Arabidopsis thaliana: one gene and its partners. The protein of the gene in region 3 interacts with the protein of the main gene of each other region in a pairwise test. Each region holds a gene or a part of one and is shown on either strand. Other genes may lie near its edges.

Region 1 (3,877 bases), 4.1 Mb from region 3:
GACCGTTATGTTTTTTCTTTTGTGAAAACTTATTTCCAGGTGCATGCTTATGAACGGTCGAACAGAGTATACAATTACGAACTGGACCCATGTGGTCCAGTTTACATTGTGATTGGTGATGGAGGTAACCGTGAAAAGATGGCGATCGAGCATGCAGATGACCCCGGTAAATGTCCAGAGCCGTTAACCACGCCCGATCCAGTCATGGGTGGGTTTTGCGCGTGGAACTTCACGCCGTCTGATAAGTTCTGTTGGGATCGGCAACCTGATTATAGTGCCCTGAGAGAAAGCAGCTTTGGCCATGGAATCCTAGAGGTACTGTTTTTAGTTAACTCCTTAACGCATCAAAACAGAGTTTAGCCTTAAGTTTATAACTAAAAAGATTAATCATTATGCAGATGAAGAACGAGACATGGGCACTATGGACATGGTATAGGAATCAAGACTCGAGCAGTGAAGTCGGAGATCAGATTTATATTGTGAGACAACCTGATCGATGTCCGCTTCACCACCGCCTTGTTAACCATTGCTAAGATCAAACAGAGATGGTCTAATAAAATTTTTGGGACTTTGATCATGTAACAGTTTCTCCCAAGAAAAATAAAAGTTTCAAAATTTCTCCAAAAATAAACAAAAAGTATCAAAATTTGTTTCTAAAAGATCTCAAGGAACTCGAGAACGAAGCTGCTGCAAACAGGACAGTGACCTTTCTGAGCCATAAGCTCTTTAGAACAGAGCTTACAAAACGTGTGACCACAAGGTGTAAAAGAAGCGCCTTTTATTTTCACCATGCAAACGCAGCAACTAAGCTCTCCTTCTCCTCCTCCATGACTATCTCCTTCTTCCTCGTTGTTCTCATCTTCTTCGTCTTCTTCGTACTCTTCATCTTCATCCATGGCGTATCTCGATCCTGTTAATCCCATTTGTCGATCTGTTTCTTCCAACAGATCCATCAGAGACATCGTCTGTTTCGGCTCAGAAGCTGAAGATGATTTCATCTCCTCTGTTTCTCCTGAATCATCCTCTTCGTCATCGTCGTCTTCATCTTCGCTTCCTCCAGCCGCCGCCGCTTCAGCTTCCGCCGCTTCTTGAGCAGCAACCGCTTCTCTCGCCGACATTTGTCTCTCTTCCACGAACGTGACGATCGGATGACGTCGTCTGTTGTTTTCTTCGCCTTCGCTGTGATCTCTAACGGAATCGTGCCGTGATAACTGCGGCTTAAAACTCCTAGACGGTGGCCCATCTTCAAGAACGCTGATGTCAGGCGAATCGTCCGGGTTTTTACTCGACCCGACCCGCATTGAAGATCCGCGCGTGAACATAGCGCGTCCTGAAGAACCAGGTGGATCTGACATCGGTATAGCGTGAACCAGATCTCGGATGTTTAAACCGGCGGAGTGAGACCGGAACGCTGTTCCAATGTGTTTGGGATTAGGGATAAGGATATCCGAAGCAGGGATATGAAGAGACGAGGTCCAAGCAGAACCGGTTCGTTTAAGACGGAGTTTCTCACGGAAAATCTGCCACGTGGTCCGATCTTTGTGCCCTTCTTTGGCGTATTCCTCACGTATGATATCAAAAAGGGTTTGGCTTGTTGGACGGTGCGGTACAAGAGATTTTGATGGTAAAGGTGGTGGCGACGGTAGAGATGGCGGTTCTATAAGGATCTCGCCGCCAAGCACAGCGTCTAGACTTAGTCCGGCTAACGAGTTACTACGGCTCTTTAACGCTGACATTTAACTCCATGCATCGAAATGTTACCTCGTGCATTGAATTTAGAGAGTCGAAAACATTGGATTTGCTTAATGAAAGAATTCAGAAAAATGAGAAAAAAGTGGTAGAAAATTTGGGATTGTGTTTTAACCTTTTAATCATTTAAACTTTTGCTTTCTTTTTTCATTTACCTTCTTAAATTGAAAGAAAATTTTGTGGGTAAAAGTGTTTTGGAATGGTTAGAAAGAGTAAGGAAGAACGAGTCTTAAGGTGAAAAAGAATTATCTAAATTAAGGATTACTCTATGATCTTTTCGAGGAAAGTTGAAAATTCTATTTCAATATTTTAATTTTGATGATCAAAATGTAATTCAACTTTTTATAACAGAAGGACCAGTTTTAATTAGGTTTGTGGAGATGGTCGCAACACTTGTACATATGGTTGGGCAAGAAAAGTAGAGAAGTGATAGAGAATTTATGAACATATATCCAAGAAATAAGAACAATATATCGTGGGTTGCATATTTGTGAGGAACAGAACTTCTTAGAGGATTATTTCGGATGATTAGAGCCATGGACCATGGTGATCATGCAATACCTGATTTTGAAACCTTATTTGGCTTGACACATTTTGGGTGCTTCTCTCTGCTCATCATACTAATTTTTAACACTTTGCCACTACTCACTTAATATTTGAGTGTGCAAATTAAAATTGATTCTTTTTGTTTGGCACAAAACAAAAAGTACTTATAGTTTTGAATGTGAATCCATGAATGGTACAAAGTTTATAAGTATATTTAGTAATATCTCAGTTCATTAAACAAACAGTCAATATGTCCGAGTGGTTAAGGAGACAGACTTGAAATCTGTTGGGCTTCGCCCGCGCAGGTTCGAACCCTGCTGTTGACGTTTACTTTTTCCTTTTTTTCCATGGCCCACGAAACAAATTTATCACATCCAAACTTCAATGTGACATAGCTCTTTAAGTATTTGCCAAAAGGAAAATCTACGAGATTCTAAGACTTCGGCATGATACAGATTACAGAGGATGATATATGCAGAGGAAAAATAAATCACGAAACGTTTTGGAGGAGGCGCATGACAAAAGACGAATTCAAGAAATAAACTAAGTAAAGTCGAATTCAAGAAATAAACTAAGTCAAAATCGCATACAACAAAACCTCGTAATATAATAGTATAATGTCTGAGCAAAACTTGCAAAAACATTCAAATACGATAAACTGATTGAATTCAGTACTTGACGGGTGCAAGAACATCCAATTGAGATCCAAGCTTCTCTTCAGCAACCTTCTCGGCCTTAGCTCTGAGTTTGCTAAGTTGCTTCTTTCTCTCATAAACAGCTTGAGCTCTTTCCTTTCTCTTGTTCTCCAGCTCCTGCTCATTTTCATCAAACACACATTCATTAGCTTATGATCCATTCTTCTAACTAAAACATGATCCAATCTAAAGATATCCTAAAACAGTACAGTTATGTGATGTATGCATATTATTGCTATAATACACGCATGACAGGAACTTATGTTCTTAAAAGCTTTTCATGACGATGTTCAAATCAGCTTAGGTACAGAAAGCATCACATCAGTAAAAGTGAACAGTACACAAGAGAAACTAAAGGTGAAGTGAAGCATACCTTGATGGTGTCGTAGTGGTTCCACCCGACTTCAGAAGAAAGGCGACCCAACAGACAGTATTTGTGTCCAGCCTGCAGCCTCAAGACCCTGATCAAGAAGGAAGAATCAAAGTTTCAGAGACTGTAGCTACTTGTAAGTATAAATGAAGGAAACTGAAAAAAAATGAAAATGAAAGGGTAAAAGGACAAACTTGAGAGCATCAGGAACGACCATCCTCTTGATCTTGTCATATGGAGTAGGAACTCCTTCAAAGACCTTCAAGCGGGCAAGTGCATTAGCTCCACGCTTAGTCTTGTGTGGAATCATACTGCCACACAAACAAAAACAACAATTCAACATCGGATTTGGCACATTTTCTCAAACAAAAAACAAAAACTACACATTGTACAACTACAAAAACATCAAAGTGGATTCTCTACTTTAGTATGATTCCAATCCTAGAGCAATTTTCAATGAAATAAGAGTTCATATGCGCTTTCTACATTATTCACAGTACTAAATTCATAAAATCGG
Region 2 (5,432 bases), on a different chromosome or scaffold from region 3:
CTAATGAATGCAGATTGTGGGAATTTATAATGTATTTCTCCTTTTGCATAGAGTTTAATGATGTACAATGAAAAAGATTTTGAATAACAGTGCTATTTAAGACTTCTAGAAATGGGTAAGTGGAAACTTCTAAGATTTCAAAGTCAAAAGACAACATTGTTGTTGGTTATTGAAATTTCTTTTTGGTACGATTATTTTTAAAATATTGTGTACGTGCTGCAAATTGATATTGGAGTTGACGCCACAAAAGCCAAATAGGCCAGAATTAAAGGGCATAGAGACTTTTCCCTGAATAATTTGTAGCCTCAAGGTACCACCCCAACATTGACTCTAAGCTATTTACACTTTCAAGGAAAACTATCACTTTACCACATTTCAATGGAGTATTCAATAGTATATAAATAAATGTTTTCGATGTATTTCTGGTAATTTCTGTAAACTAATCACGCCAAGTCAATTTGTTGGAGGGCGTTTTCCCTACAAATCTATATATTTTTGTTGTTCTTTATGTATTTGGTCCAAAATCGTAAATATCTACACCTTAATTTCTATGGTTACTAGTAGTACTACTACTATGCATGTTGGAAAAAGAAGCTTCCTATGATCATTTGATATTTTACTCTAAACTGAAAGGAGCTATCAATGAAACCCCAAAAGTATGAAAAATGGTCAAAACTAACTGAAATTTGTAATTTAGGTTCCCAATCACTACGATAAAGTAATATTGGGGTTATAAAAGAAAACCAGATTGAAATTAACCTCAAAAGACACCTAGGCTCAGACTACAACATTATATATTATATATTCACCCATCATGTTAACTCTTAATTTTTTTAGCATGCAAAGGAATTGTTATAGTTTACCTACACAATTCACAATGCTTTACAAACTCATCATTCCCTATTCTACTTTTCTCTTCTACTTAAACCCAAAATAAGCTTGTTAGACTCATCGTGCCGTTTTTGTTACTGCTGCCCACCATTGTTCCTTTTAGCCACCGGCTTTGGTTTTCTCGGAATGCACTTAGCTCGAACCGCTTCTTCCTCATCCTTCTCCGTCGTTGGTCCCATTCTTGAACACCTAATAAAATTTATCAAATATCAATTATTATAACCTTTCATTTCATTAAAAAAAACTATTAGAACTTTTAAAAATTGAGAAGACGTTTGAAAGACACCCCAAAATGTACTTCTACAAACTTTACCATTTTCAGCTCTTTCAATCAACAGTTCAACACACCATAACCAATAATTGCCAATGTACGGGTAAATTCATAAAAGTTAAAATAGAACTACGTGCCGTTTCATCTAAAGAGAAATCGAACTGCTTGATGTTTTATTTTTTTACCTGTCAGCATTGTAAGAAGAAGATCTTTTCAAAGCAGGAACAAGCTCCTTCTTGGTCTCAATCAAACTGCCGCTAAAATACTCCTTATCTTCCAATTGTACCCTTCCAAAACTCTTTAATTCCTTATCTACCCTCTCCTCACCATTATCCTCTGCTCCTCGCGTTATCGTACACCCGCTACGCCCGTTCAACGCCAGCCCTTGATCTTTCAACAAAACAGGCCCACATTCTTTAAACGACATCGTACCACACGATATCAGCTGCATTAACACAGCCGAAGCTCTCATTCTTCCGCTGGATAAACTCTCGACCGTCCGATGATCGGTGCTGCTTTCGCTAGGACGCAATATCAGCCGTCCATCGGCTTTGATCAGATTCTCTAATGTCTCGGGACTTGAATCCGACGGTGGAGGAGATATCTCGTCTCTGCTCAGCTCTGTACTCTGATTCTCATAACTCGCCGGACTTTTCACCTCTTCTATTTCCTCTTTCGCCGGTCTTCTCCTCCGTCGTCTATCGTCAGTCTGAGTAGAAGCGTCCGCAGCGAGTCTTTGAGTTGACTCGGCGCTTGACTCGGTTGCTTTGTACACTTTGTACTCGCTGAGATCGATAGAGCTCCAAGACTGGTTCCTCCGTCGATTTATCACCGCCGGGATATCATCGCCGGAGTTTTTATCTGGATTTAAAGATCTTGGGTCTCTAAACGACGACGTTTCGAGGAGGCTTCTTGGGTTTGAGATAAGACAAGAATCAAGAACCTCAGAGCCTTTGAGAACATATTCTTGACCTTGAACAGGGAAGATGAAATCGTCCTCCGATAAATCGTGCCAGACAAATCCATTTTTGTAGCTCCTGAACAATAAAAAAATGTCAAGAGATTTTAAAAGGAAGAGGCTTTATAGAGATCCGACGGTGGAGGAGAATCGTTTACCGTTTCGAAGACCAAGAGTAGAGACTTGCCATGCCTTTCCCTCTTAGATCATTCAAGCGGTTTATCACATCTGAGAATTTGGAAAAAACCAAATTAAAGTTTTAAACTTTTTTAGTTGCTCAATGAAGTTCTTGATTTTGAAATAAAGATACAATTCGAAAACTTGCCGCCTTTTTCACTGTTATGTTTCAGAAATAATAAAGAGTAAAAAGCCAAAGAGAACAGAGAGTTTGAAAACCTTTTGAACTCAAAAAGCTACTTTCTTGAAAAAGCGTTTTCATCAGTTTTTGGGTTGATTTATTATTACCTTTGAGATAAAGACCATCGTGGGAAGAGAGAGTGACTTCGATGAAATGAGGATGGTCAAGCTGACCATTCCGGCAGAGATAATAGACGACTGGGACTTTCCGGTTAACGACGGGTTTAAGACGAGGCTCAGACCAGATTCGGTTACGGTCGGGACTGGTGTCTTGTTGGTCTTTGGATCTCCTGGGGACCAAATAGTTGTTATCTGGTGTTGCTCTGAACACTCTTGAACTCATCCTTTTTGTTTCTTTGCTTATGGAAAAGTGAAAGAAAAAAAGAAAAAGAGACGAAGAACACGAAGTAGTGAAGGAGTTTTAAAGTGAGAGTCTTTGTGGGAGTTTATGAGGGAGTTGATGTTGATGGAAAGACAAAATCTTTTGTTTAAGAGTTTGGATTTATAGAAAGCAAATGAAAGCAGAGAGGAAAGAGAGAGTGAGATTTTGAAAAATGAGGATGCGAGAGACAAAGGGCTACACAACAAATGAAACTTTGCTCTCAATCTCTCTCTCTTCTGGCTTTTCTGATATAAACATGTATCGGCTCTTACTTGCGCCAGTAGAAAAAGCATTTCCAACCAAAGTCAATTTTATTTAAATTCGGCCATGACTAATTGAATTATTTTCTGGCTTTTTATGGAGTATGTTTTCAAATTTTGAAAATTTTATAAGATTGGTAGAGATTCTTATTAAGTTCTTTTTTTTTTTTGAACTAGACTATACTTTAGGTATTCAATAGAATAACGCTCAATTTTTCAAAACGAATTGGATAATAATGCCATTTTGGTCTATTTATTGTTAAATATTGGTATATATTTTTGTGTAAGTCAGTTGGAAGTTTCTGTATTTTCATATACTCTATTTTGATCAAAATATCATCAAGTAAATGATCTTATAAACTTCTGTTCCGTTTGAATTCCTGTCAGTTTTATAATTTTCTAAGTTACATATAGTAATACGAAATAAAATGTTTGTATATGGAGATCAATATTCATTTTGCGTATTCGTACGAGCCTTTTACCCCAAAGAAGAAAGAAGGATAGAATAAAGTAATAAACCAAACTAATCTGAATTATGTATAGTTTACGAATAACAACAAAAATATAAAAAAAACTAATTTATTACACTAATACAAACATTGAGTCAAGCGCGACGTCGTTTCGTGTCTAAAATTTTTATATGTAAGTAAGATTTGCGTACAATAAATGAAAGGAGTAAATATTTTTAAAATGGTGATCAAGTTGACTAAACGAGTCCACGTAGTTTCTCTTCATACCTAACTTTGACTACGAAATATGAAACCGATGATTTTAAATGTTATGTCCGTTTCATAAACTTGTTTTACTCGGGCCTTTGCCATGTGTCACACATTTCGTAAGTCTGTAAAGTAATAAAAAAAAAGTGTTTACGGAGTAAAACACGGTAGGCATAAAAATTTAGACTTTAACGTTAATTAGTAAGCTTGCTTATTAGTATAAAACAGTTTAATGATAACTTGGGCTATTTATAACGTTTTGGTCACAAATTTACAATAGATAATTATAATAGATATGTTAATATTCACCACGAATTGATTGTTCCACCTACGTTTTCTTATGCGGGGCTCAAATGAATTTAATAGAAAAGAACTTGTTGACAAGAAATAAATCCAATTTTATTTTTGTTATTTGGATGCCCTTTTCATTTGAATGATTATGTCTTAAAGGTTATAGTTTGACTTTTTTTGTTTGTTTACTTTTCATGAGGTATCATGACAGGAGTTCACGGACACTCGAGATAATTGTGGTCCTTTGAAGAGATTTTGTGATGAACGGTTGAGATCAAATTTAAGAAGTTGATCTCATCACCTGCAAAATGTAAATGTATACGGTGACTGGACATAGATACGCTCATAAAATCCAGATATTCTCTTCCACTCATCCGACGACTCTCCTGCTATGACTGAGAGATATCAATAGGTTTCGCTTATTAATACACAAACATACCACATTTGTTTTTCTTCGGATTTTGTTTTTTTTTTCTTGTCATTTTATGTTCTTCAATGAATTTGGATAATAAGTACACTTTATGGCTCTAAATGGTAATCATACGACCAAAGAAAAAAAAGAACTCTAATAGATCAATAGAACCATTGATGCATCATTTGACATCAATTTAGAAATTCATGTGTGTTTATTCTTTTTGATTTTTTTTTTTCATGTCAGTTGGTTGTTATTTTAGATAATCTTAGGAAGCATTAATAATTTAGTTGTAGGAAATATTACTTCGAATTACAAAGTTTTTTTTTTGTGCTTTAGGGAGGTGACGAATATGAAAGCTGACAAAAATGCGGTCGGTCGTCCAACTTAACGGCCAAATAATAAAAGTCACCCATGACCCCTTCTATTTCCATTTCACGTGGGGGTTCAAACATATACATAATACATATTGCTTATTTATCCACATTTTGACTGTTTTGATACATCCAATACATTCTTATTTCTTCCATTTATTGTTACTCTAGCTAGCCCCAAACACCAGTTCCCTGGTAAGTGAAGTGTCAAACAAGATACCAAGCTTATTCCCAATCGAGGATGTAAAAAGATTTTGGAAACTGAATTATAATGGAACGAAATATTTGCCTCAAACCCTTTTTTCAAAAAAAAAATTGCTCTCTATTAATCGTTATAGTATGACAGGTTCATTGGGCTAATAAATGAAGAAAGAAAAGAAACCACGAAAACTTCAGAACTTATAAATTTATAAGATATATACTCTATTAAGTTAATAATTTTTACTACAGAGATTCTTGGTGTGAATTGTTACAACAGATATATAAGAAAAAAACAGTAATGCAGATAGTAAAAAATCAA
Region 3 (5,293 bases):
GCTCCTTGGAGCTACATGTGAAAGACTATAACACTCTGCTTCCGACTTCAAGCATCGGTAACTGCGTTGTGGAGTACCAAGGGTTAAAGCCAAATGAGACTGCCGATAAGTGGATAATTCTCCAAGGAGTGAAACACGGGGAGGTCCATGTCAGAGTCACGAGGAAAGTCACGGAGATTCAGAGACGCGCCAGCGCAGGTCCTGGCACACCGTTTAACAAAGCTCTGTTACTGTCCAACCAGATGAAGCAGGTGATGATAAAGTTTCAGAATTTGATTGACGATGGAGATCTTGAAGGTCTTGCTGAAGCTTTAGAAGAGCTGGAAAGTTTGGAGGACGAACAAGAACAGTATTTGCTCCAGCTTCAGACAGAGCAATCGCTGCTTATCAACAAGATCAAAGACCTTGGTAAGGAGATTCTTAACTCATCCCCAGCTCAAGCCCCGTCTCGAGATTCTTAACTCGTCCCCAGTTCAAGCCCCGTCTCATTCCCCATCTCGATCAGGCTCGGGTTCGGGGACAGGATCCTCCTATAACCGGAGATTACCCGCACCAATGTAGTCACTTGTTTTTCCCGATCAAACAATCATCTATGATGTATATAGATAGATATGTAGGGGCATTGGATAAAATGTTCAGAGAGAGTTGAGCCCTTGTTACAAAGTTAGATACATATGATATGTAACATATCAAATCTGTAAGTTTCTTATTATTCCCTTTGTTATTCTGTAACAATAAAAACTGTTGTAATTGTTTGTAAAACTGTTGTTCTGTGTCTAGGCTGATCAGTCATTTACAGAAGCAAAATAGTTCTTTTGACCTCAAGTGTTATCTAGTCTCCTCAGCACAGTGAGATATTTTTCAGATTAATAATTGGTTAATTTCTCATCCCCACAAATGTTGTAAAGCTAAATGACTCGAGGTAAGATTCCTAACTTGTAAACTTAAGCCTTGAAAAGAATAAATCCACATGATTCGAGCATGTTTGTTCAAAAGAGTAAAAAACCGGTGACCATCAACAGATGATGAATAAACCGGACTAAACCATAAATATTCCATCATACATGAAGGATCAAGTAACATGGCATGATACAGCTTTAGATGACTAATTCATTGTGTGAGAGTACAATGCATATGATCCCAAGTTAACCTCTACTAGTAACTGTGAAAAATGGCTGTTACAAACGGGGATAGAAATTACATGGCCTAGGCTGAACCAGCGGGAACAGTAGCTGCATTGGAGCTAGGCTGAACCAAAGTGGCTGGAGTGGCACTCAGGCTCGGATCTTTTGACTCGGGTGCAACAATGGGAACTGTAGCTCCGGGTAGTGACAGAGGGGTTTTTGCAGCCGCATCTAGAGCGGGTATCTGATGCTGATTTGAGTTAGCCAAATCGTTTACGGCGTTGTGAAGTTGTTGTAGCCTGTAATCTGTCTCGGGCCGCCGACAAATCTTCCTCAAGGGAACGATTTCCTGCTGGGATAACGGAAAAGAAATCCAAAATAGGTGAGTGAGGAGGGTTTTGCTTTATGGTCTAAACCATGAAATGGAGCTGACGGGTAAATAAAACCGCAAGGGATAGAGAGAGAGAGAGAGAGATGATCGTCCAACCTCGGACTGGTCGTGGCTGTAACGCACCAAGAACCTACAACGACAACCTCTGACATCATGTCTTCTTCTCTGTGCGTCAAGAACAATGGCGTCAAAGTAAAGAGCTTGATCTTTTCCTTCCTGAAGATGTTATAACATAGTTCTAGTCAGGGATAAACTAACATGACACCTATCACTAAATGCTTAGAGAGCGAAGTTCTAAACCTGGAAACAAAGGACGAGATCTCCAGCAAGAACTGCAACACATTCTGATGCTTCACATGGGAGAGACCGTTGTCTTACATGCTTTTTGACATTTATCCATTCATCTTCTTCAACTTCGAAACCCGCAAATCGAACCTGCACTTCCTGAAATACCCAACAGAAAGATTGTTGTTAGCAAAACAAAAAAGGGGAACAAATAAGTCAACAAGAGGTTGGTTAGGAATTACCGGATCACCAATCTCCAAGTTTCTATGAGCTAGGAAAGCTTGCACATCATACCTGTAAGTAAGCAAGAGAGTTACATATCAGAGAAAACCAGTGGAATGTAATGATATTGTTACAAAGTATCATAAGTCAGCAAAAAAAATACTGAAGATTGAATGCAAGGGAATCACCATGCACCATCCCTGGCAGATTTGGCTTCAAATTCCAAGTAAGAGTTGTCTGAACCACTCCTCATGACACCGGGAACTATGAGGAAAAGCAGTAAACAGTTACGAAAATGGCATCTGTGCAATATCAGCCATACTGATCTAGACTTATGGAGAAAAAACTAAAACTGAAAAAACCAATGAAACCTATTCCAATAAATAACCTTCTCAACCTATTTTACTGAGAGTAGAATAAATAAAGCACCTAAACTACCAGAAGGGGCAGGCGTCATGCCGGGTAAATTTCCAGTCATATGAGTGGTTTTAGGAACTGATAATGGTTGAATCACACTTCTCATCTGATTTGGTAAATCCATACGCGGCATGGAAGATACATTTAGCTTCCCAGGAGCTTTGTTTCCCCTTGCTCGTAAAGCATATCGCCTATTTTGAAACCAGTTCCAGATCTGTGATGCATTAAAACAACATTCCCATTAACTTTTAAAAGCAAACCCAACAGACTCTGTCTGATAAAACTTAAGAATCAAGAAGGAAAAAGCCAGTACTTGCTTGAACTGCACAACAACTTTCCCCTTCCGCTCAGGTGATTCACTGAGACAACAGATAACAAAAAGTAACCACATTTTAGATGATAAAGACACAAAATCACTTTCAGGCCAAGGAATTGAGCAACAACAAGTAAAATACCTAAACTTATCAGCAAGAGCTTCAAGAATATGTCGACCTGGCATTGCTGTATTATGCTGTAGCAAAATTGCTTCCATCTCCGTTACCTTCATAACAATTGAAGATTAGCTATAACAAACAAGATAAAACCTCTTCAAAAGAAGTCACAAAACCATAGAACAACAGATAGATAGAAAAACTTATGTATTATCAAATCTAAACTCTTAAACATTACTTAATAAAGTAAAGCCAATGGATTTCAGAACATACATCGAATTGTCTTCAAGTTTCTACTAGCTAATTACAAAAATTCAATTGGACTTCAGGATCTAAACCCTATCATGAACCCAAAAAGAAGACCTAAATCCTAAGGAACAAAACCGACACAAAAATCAGATTTTTCAGCTCTGGGAGCTCAAAATCCGTGAAAGCAACACATTACAAAGAATCGAGATAAACCTCAGGCAGGATAAATCGAAACGCCGGACCGCCATTACTGGGAGGTCGACCCATGGTATCTTCTTCGTCTCACCGAAGAAAAAACAAAAATTGGCGGCAGAAAGTGAAATCAATCGGAGCTTCTCTCACTTAATATTCGAATTCACGGTGAATCTCTCTAGTACGGCCGGTGACCCAACGACAACGAAACCGGTTTTACTCAGACCCGACTCCGTCGCTTATATAACTTTTCACCTGTGTAATTTTTTTAAACTTAACATGTAGTAATGGGCTTTTAAAACCCATTAAAGGCCCATTTTCCTAAAACCGATACAAAAATCTTATCCGTATGGTCGAGTAAATCCAGCTTATCCGCCTGAAACTTATTTCTCAGTATCCAAAACGATGGCGAAGAAGACACTTCGCTGAAGCTTTTTTTTCCAAAAAAATTTCTTAGTGTCGTCAATGGCTTTGGCTCCACTTAATTTTACGGAAATGCCACTGAGAAGCTCTCTTCCTCTGACCTCTAGCTCTCGCTATTGTTCCTCTCCTTCGCTTCACGCATTGCTCTTCTATTCGTTGGGTGTGAAACCCTCGCGTCAACAAATTGTTCGGCCATTCTCTTCGCTGCGTACAAGCGAGCGTAGCAACAACAGGAGCAATAACAATCGTCGATTAGATCAACGTAATCATAAACCTACTCCTCCTTGGATAGATAAGTGGCCTCCGTCATCCTCCGGAGCTGGCGGTGATCATGCCGGGAAGAAAGGTGGTGAAAACAACGGCGGAGATAGAATTCGGTCTGCGGAGGAGGAAGCGGAAGCGAAACTTCGGTATTTGGAGAAGGATAAAGGACAAAACGCGATTGAGAGGATTGTTCTTCGGCTACGGAATTTAGGATTAGGTTCGGATGATGAGGACGATGTGGAAGATGACGAGGGAGGTGGAATTAACGGCGGAGATGTGAAGCCGGTGACTGGAGAAGAGAGATTGGGGGATTTGTTGAAGAGAGAGTGGGTGAGACCTGATATGATGCTTGCTGAGGGAGAAGAGAGTGAGGAAGAGGATGAGGTATTATTGCCATGGGAGAAAAATGAGGAAGAGCAGGCGGCGGAGAGAGTAGTAGGAGAAGGAGGAGTGGCGGTGATGCAGAAGAGGAGAGCTAGAGCTCCATCACTGGCGGAGCTCACCGTTGAGGATTCTGAGTTACGGCGGTTAAGGAGGGATGGAATGTATCTGAGGGTTAGGATCAATATACCAAAAGCTGGGCTAACGCAGGCAGTGATGGAGAAGATTTATGATACTTGGAGGAAAGAAGAGCTTGTGAGGCTAAAGTTCCACGAAGTGCTTGCTCGTGACATGAAGACGGCCCATGAGATTGTTGAGGTTCGTTAGTTCTCTTGAATACTTCATTGATTAGAACAGTAGGTTAGCGAAATTTGAGGTGCGAGATTATTCCAAGAGAGAGCGGTTTTCATTATCTATTGGGGATAAGCTTTGCGGAAGTGACATGATCTTTATAGGATAGTAAGAGACTCTGAAGTACCTAAGCTCTGAAATAGAATGGTTATAAAGCTTTTATAATAACAGTAGGAAATTTGTGAAAAACGTTAGATCTTTCTTGGGAACGATTATATAGTTGTGAATAAGGTGAATTTGAGGTGTTGATTAACTAGAGTGGATGGAGCTGAGCATGCTGTTAGAATTCTTTGAGTAACAAGACTGTGCAGGAGATGCATGTCTTAACTTTAGGTTTAAAAAAAAACTGATTGAATTACTCTAATGGGCAGCGTCGAACTGGTGGAATGGTGATATGGAGGGCCGGAAGTGTAATGGTGGTTTATCGTGGACTTGACTATAAAGGACCTCCTGTGATCTCTAATCAAATGGCCGGTCCTAAAGAGACTCTTTTTGTCCCAGATGTATCTTCTGCTGGCGATGAAGCAACAAATGCCAAAGATAACCAAAGTGCACCTTTGGTA
Region 4 (4,803 bases), on a different chromosome or scaffold from region 3:
CAAGAAATAAAGTACACATCTTCACATTCAGACAGAGAACTGAGAACTAAGAGAAGCACAAAACCATGAAAAAAGTTCCTCAGAAAAGAAAAACAAAAGCTTTTTCTAGACCCATAAAGACAGTTAACGACAAGATTCAAACCTTTAAGAAACCGAAAGTTTAACCTTTCTAGACTAAGCTAATTCAACAACATAAAGAGTTTAGAACATAGTTTACCGTGTCCTCTGAAGACATGTCGGAACGCTTAAGAACTTTGAAGAAGCTTTCCTGCTTCCTCTCTTCTTTGCACCAAAGAAAATCAGGGTTACTTGCCATCTCTCTCCTTTGAAATGTTCTGATTCAAGCTCTCACCTACAAGTTTTGCTCCTTCAACTTGCTCGTCTCTCTCACTCTCTATCTCCTCTCGTAATATTTTTCTCTCTGTCTTGTTGAGCCGTTGAATATGTAGCAAAGCACCACTTAAAATTTCAAAGATATGATTCAATCAAAGTGGTCAAAGTGAAAAAAGCTTTCCTCTCAATACTGAAACTGTAGTACAATTGTGACTTCATCCTTTTTGGATGTGTTCATTTAATTCATAGCATGCGATTATTATGCATAACAGATGAATCTCTTTTGGCGTTAATACATTTCGGTGACTGGAAATAAGAAGTACGACACTAGGCAAGTACTGTAATTATACTTTTCTGTTTAGGTAATGACTGTATTGGATTAGTTCTTCATTTTGATAAATTTATGAAGAAGAGTATAAAAGAAATTATAACTTATTTGGCAACCACTTAAGGTGGTGAAGTTGTCTCCAAGAACATATAAGAAAAAGGTTAGGATTTCATTTGATATCAAACAAAAGTTCAGCAATTGACATTTGCCACATCTTAATCTCTGTAATGTCATTCCAAATCCAATTATTCTACCGCTAACTTCATAATTAAAGGCCATATATTCAGCAGCCCTACATTTATAATTGACCTGTAATATGGCAACAAAAAGAACATCTGATCTAGAGACTCTGTAGAACTGTTAGAATTGAAAGATCAGAGGAAGTGATGAGTAGGATACTCATGTTCATAACCATTGTAGTCATAATAGAGCCTTTCCCCTTTCGATATATCGCGTGTAGCCACTAGAAGAACTCGACATTCGCCGTTTATGCTATACCTCACGCATTTGCAGTTCTGCTTCTTCTTAGCAACCCTGCAACAATCAGTGTGATGTGATGATTCAATGTTATAAACCAGTTTAGTGGGGGGAAAACAATTTTGAATTTGTTGCTTACGGATTGTGATTGTTAATGCCATTAATGAAGCGAGATATGTTTCCAAACTTGTCTGGACAGATAACAAGAGTCTTTGAAGGATCTTCTGATAAAAGGAGAGTCATGATGCTGTCACAATCGTCTTTTTCTCGGTTTTTCAAGTAATCAACATCCCCTGTATATTCAGCTATGAATGTTAAGTCCTTAATAGGACCATCTGCTTCAACTGTGTAACTGTACAAACGGAATAACCAAAGAACATGTTTACAACTCCACTTTGTCATTATGGGAAGGTTGATCGAAGGAATAGAGAGAGATACCCTTCAAGCGGATCAAATACCACAACGAGAGGAGGGCATTCTCCTCGTCTATACATAGATTGACATTGTTCCAATGTCTCTAAATCTTCTTTGCATAGCACCTGCGAAAAGTAAAAACCGAGATAAACAATCAAGGAAGTAACTTAAAATAAGAGAGTTATGGATAAATGGCTGAAAGATTGTTTTTGTTTATTACCTGCATCCCACCTTTCTCTAACTTGGATTGATTTGCAGACCGAGGAGCCATTCCGGGAACATAATTTAAACCATCGCTGTATTTGATACCCAATGCCGTTAATGCAGAAGCAAGTGTTCCCATTTGTGCAAGCCTCTGATCAGGATCTTCTGATGGAACCAAAGGTAAGAGTTTTCTCCTTCTTTTCTTCACTGTCAAAGAGCAAGATCGTCTCCGCTTTCTAGTTTCTTCTTCAAAACAAAGAAATCTCAATCTCAAACACTTGTTATTAGTTTAATCCTGAAGCATCTATGATCTATGTATATGATATGTATAAGTTCTCATCAATGCTTATTAACCCTACATAAGGTGCAACAAAATTTCAAGCATATAATAGGCCAAAGTTAAGCTATTTCATATTCATCTAACTATTTAATCAAGTGAAACATCTCGTCAGATTCATCAACTCAAGAACTTTATGATCATATCATGAAATCCAAAAACAAAAATCGCACCTTGACTCAATTCCAATTTGTCTGTTTGATGAGTATGCTTCTCAATCCGAAAGAAATGTAAAATCTTCTTCTGAGATAACCCTAAACATTTCACCGGACAAGAGAAAAATCCATTTTTTTATTAAACAAAGAACACAAGAAAATTAGGAAATTTAAAAGCGAAGAAACAAAAAATCCATACTTCTTACAGGTCGTTGGTCGGAACAATCGACACAAAGCCAAGTTCCAATGGGGACACGAACAACAATGGGTCTAAGGCATTTCATGTGAAAGCCTCTATCGCATTTGTCACAGAGAAGAAGCTCATCGTCTCCTTCTCCAGAACCACATTTCTCGCAGGTGACGTTACTGTAGCTGTCTTCGTCTTCTTCTTCTTCTTGTTCAACCACAGGGACAGATTTCGCCATTATCTCAGCCATTGATTTCATCTTCCTCGGTGGTGGAGATTCGGAGGAAGGGCGTCTCGCTGGAGCTTTCGTTCGTCGCCTCGATGAGCAAGGAGACGCCGCAGGGGAGGATGCGTTCCATGTGGCCATGACGGAAGCTCACGACGAAGAGTCGCCGGAGAACGGGATATATGATTTTGATTGGTTGGGGCTAATGTGCACCGCCGCGTGTGCGCACGAAAACTGATGTGCGCATCACCTGGAGTGTAATTTGGGATTCTTCCTTTGAGACTCTTCTTTATCGGCTCTTTTGTTTTTTTGACCTTTGACAAATTCAAAATTACTGGTATGTCTTAAAAGGTTTAAACATTGTAAGTGATACTAATAAATTTACAACCATTAAAGCCTTTTAATTGTTACTAAATTTCTTAACTAAATTTTACTTATTTAATTTACTAGGGATTGATATAAAAATTAATACAGTATTAACTATACTATACAAACGTAATTACAAAAATAGATATCTTTCAATTGAAAAAAAATATATGTTGGTGGGCTCAATACAAACACAGTAAACGTCAATTTCGTCAACTGAGCCACCCCAACGCCAAGCCCAACAGTCGGTCCGCCTCATTGGAGGCTCAAGTTCTTTATTTGACAAGCTAAACCAAAGTGTTCTGGTTTGACCAACAATGTAATATTACATAAATCTGAATCTATAAAATACAAAATTTAATAAATTATGTCTTATGGTTTAACATAATTTTCTGTTTCCGATTTAAGAATTTTTCGCCATATTGATTTTCATAATTTTATATACATATATAATATCTTTCAATTGTAAATTTTTATCTTATAATTTTATATATGAATAGTTTTCTCTATTTTTTTCAAGGTTTTTAATTAATAAGAAATTGCGGTGTTAGCGTTAATGAAATAGTTATGGTATAGACTATAAAGAATAATATACATAATTGGAACAAGTGAAATGGTTGTTTGATATATTCTTGACGATGAGAGCAAAACTTTCTTATCATATTTTCTGAACCGGGGTGTATGCTAGGTAATTTTGTGGCTAAGTCCTTTATTAAGGTTGTTGCACTTCTTCACAAGGATGAAAACTTAAGTCTTGCATCGGTGGATGCTTCAAGATATTCATATATGCTCGCCATGTAAGTTTTGCTTATACTAATACTGTTTAAGTCATAGTATTCCAAAAAAATCAAAGAAATAAGACTATTACTGGTCCATCACAATGGATTCCCTTCGAGAAGCCCGCATCGATCTTTCTATGCCTTATGAGTTTTGTCCCTATGAATATGAGGAATATGAAAAACATTCTTGACCTTGCTTCTACTACCGTTAAAGTATGATGTCTCTCTCTTCTCCATGTATCTTGTTACATTCATGCTTGACCAATTTGTTTGTGTTTCATTCATGACCAGTTTGCTTGTGTGTTGTAGATGATGCGTCATTGCTTCGATTATTGGCGTAGTAATGAATTTCCCTTGTTTAAAAACCTTGTTAAACTATCGTTTGAGTCTAAGACGAAAAAAGGTTGGAAAGTTCTTTGGACTCTGATAAAAAGCTCTCCCAATCTAGAAACTTTGATCCTCAAGGTTTGTATGTATAATATGATCTCTTTTTCTCTTTCTCAATTATAAATTTAATCTCGGAGTTTCACTTACTGTGTGTTCTTTTCTTTTCTATCCGTTGTTTCAGGGTTTTCAGTGTGTAAGTACTTGTGGGTATAGCATTGATGGAAATACGTTGAAGGTGTTGGAGTTATACGGGTGTAGAGGGAATCTTAGAGAAGTCGAACAAGTGAGGCTGTTCTGTCGGAAAGTGAATTTCTTCAAGTAATGAAAGTGGAAATTGGTACTAAGGTTGATGTTGACAAGAAATTGCAACTCACCAAAGACCTCCTTCCTTATCCTAACGTTCCTCCAAATGCCAAATCCACTTCTTGTAATCTTTTAAATCCAATTTTGTTTTTGACTGCTCAATCAATCAAGATTCAGTTTGTTTTAGATACAAAGACAACATCTCCCTTGATAGAGCATATTGATAGCTTTACTTTTAATACGATTTTGCCAAGTCCAAACATAAAATTCTGGTTTAGAGTATCAACATTGCAATGATACTAGTACT

What was found.
Region 1: the proteins of SHH2 (region 3) and AT3G07120 interact in a two-hybrid assay, tested with the Arabidopsis thaliana proteins (one large-scale study listed by BioGRID).
Region 2: the proteins of SHH2 (region 3) and AT5G59790 interact in a two-hybrid assay, tested with the Arabidopsis thaliana proteins (one large-scale study listed by BioGRID).
Region 4: the proteins of SHH2 (region 3) and ATXR5 interact in a two-hybrid assay, tested with the Arabidopsis thaliana proteins (one large-scale study listed by BioGRID).

Annotation. Positions count from the first base shown.
Region 1 is NC_003074.8:2,252,419-2,256,295, reverse strand, and holds AT3G07120 (RING/U-box superfamily protein), read right to left. Parts: upstream 1,818-3,877; 5' UTR 1,737-1,817; coding exon 654-1,736; 3' UTR 554-653; downstream 1-553. Other genes in the region: PAP15 (purple acid phosphatase 15), read left to right, coding at 1-315, 399-533; AT3G07110 (Ribosomal protein L13 family protein), read right to left, coding at 2,964-3,110, 3,364-3,451, 3,555-3,671.
Region 2 is NC_003076.8:24,088,338-24,093,769, reverse strand, and holds AT5G59790 (UPSTREAM OF FLC protein (DUF966)), read right to left. Parts: upstream 3,126-5,432; 5' UTR 2,821-3,125; coding exon 2,586-2,820; intron 2,349-2,585; coding exon 2,279-2,348; intron 2,200-2,278; coding exon 1,348-2,199; coding exon of another isoform or gene 1,344-1,347; exon of another isoform or gene 1,205-1,343; intron 1,081-1,204; coding exon 966-1,080; 3' UTR 602-965; downstream 1-601. UniProt on the Arabidopsis thaliana protein: SOSEKI proteins (SOK1-5) locally interpret global polarity cues and can influence cell division orientation to coordinate cell polarization relative to body axes.
Region 3 is NC_003074.8:6,309,796-6,315,088, forward strand, and holds SHH2 (DNA-BINDING TRANSCRIPTION FACTOR 2), read right to left. Parts: upstream 3,612-5,293; 5' UTR 3,387-3,611; coding exon 3,333-3,386; intron 2,981-3,332; coding exon 2,895-2,980; intron 2,799-2,894; coding exon 2,753-2,798; intron 2,654-2,752; coding exon 2,452-2,653; intron 2,287-2,451; coding exon 2,211-2,286; intron 2,095-2,210; coding exon 2,043-2,094; intron 1,960-2,042; coding exon 1,816-1,959; intron 1,732-1,815; coding exon 1,612-1,731; intron 1,477-1,611; coding exon 1,207-1,476; 3' UTR 924-1,206; downstream 1-923. Other genes in the region: ATSYTF (C2 domain-containing protein), read left to right, coding at 1-461; EMB1865 (CRS1 / YhbY (CRM) domain-containing protein), read left to right, coding at 3,777-4,697, 5,102-5,293.
Region 4 is NC_003076.8:3,038,169-3,042,971, forward strand, and holds ATXR5 (TRITHORAX-RELATED PROTEIN 5), read right to left. Parts: upstream 2,994-4,803; 5' UTR 2,803-2,993; coding exon 2,448-2,802; intron 2,348-2,447; coding exon 2,267-2,347; intron 2,003-2,266; coding exon 1,773-2,002; intron 1,678-1,772; coding exon 1,577-1,677; intron 1,491-1,576; coding exon 1,278-1,490; intron 1,196-1,277; coding exon 1,036-1,195; 3' UTR 812-1,035; downstream 1-811. Other genes in the region: AT5G09780 (Transcriptional factor B3 family protein), read right to left, coding at 218-316. UniProt on the Arabidopsis thaliana protein: Histone methyltransferase that specifically monomethylates 'Lys-27' of histone H3 (H3K27me1). Has much higher activity on nucleosomes containing H3.1 than H3.3.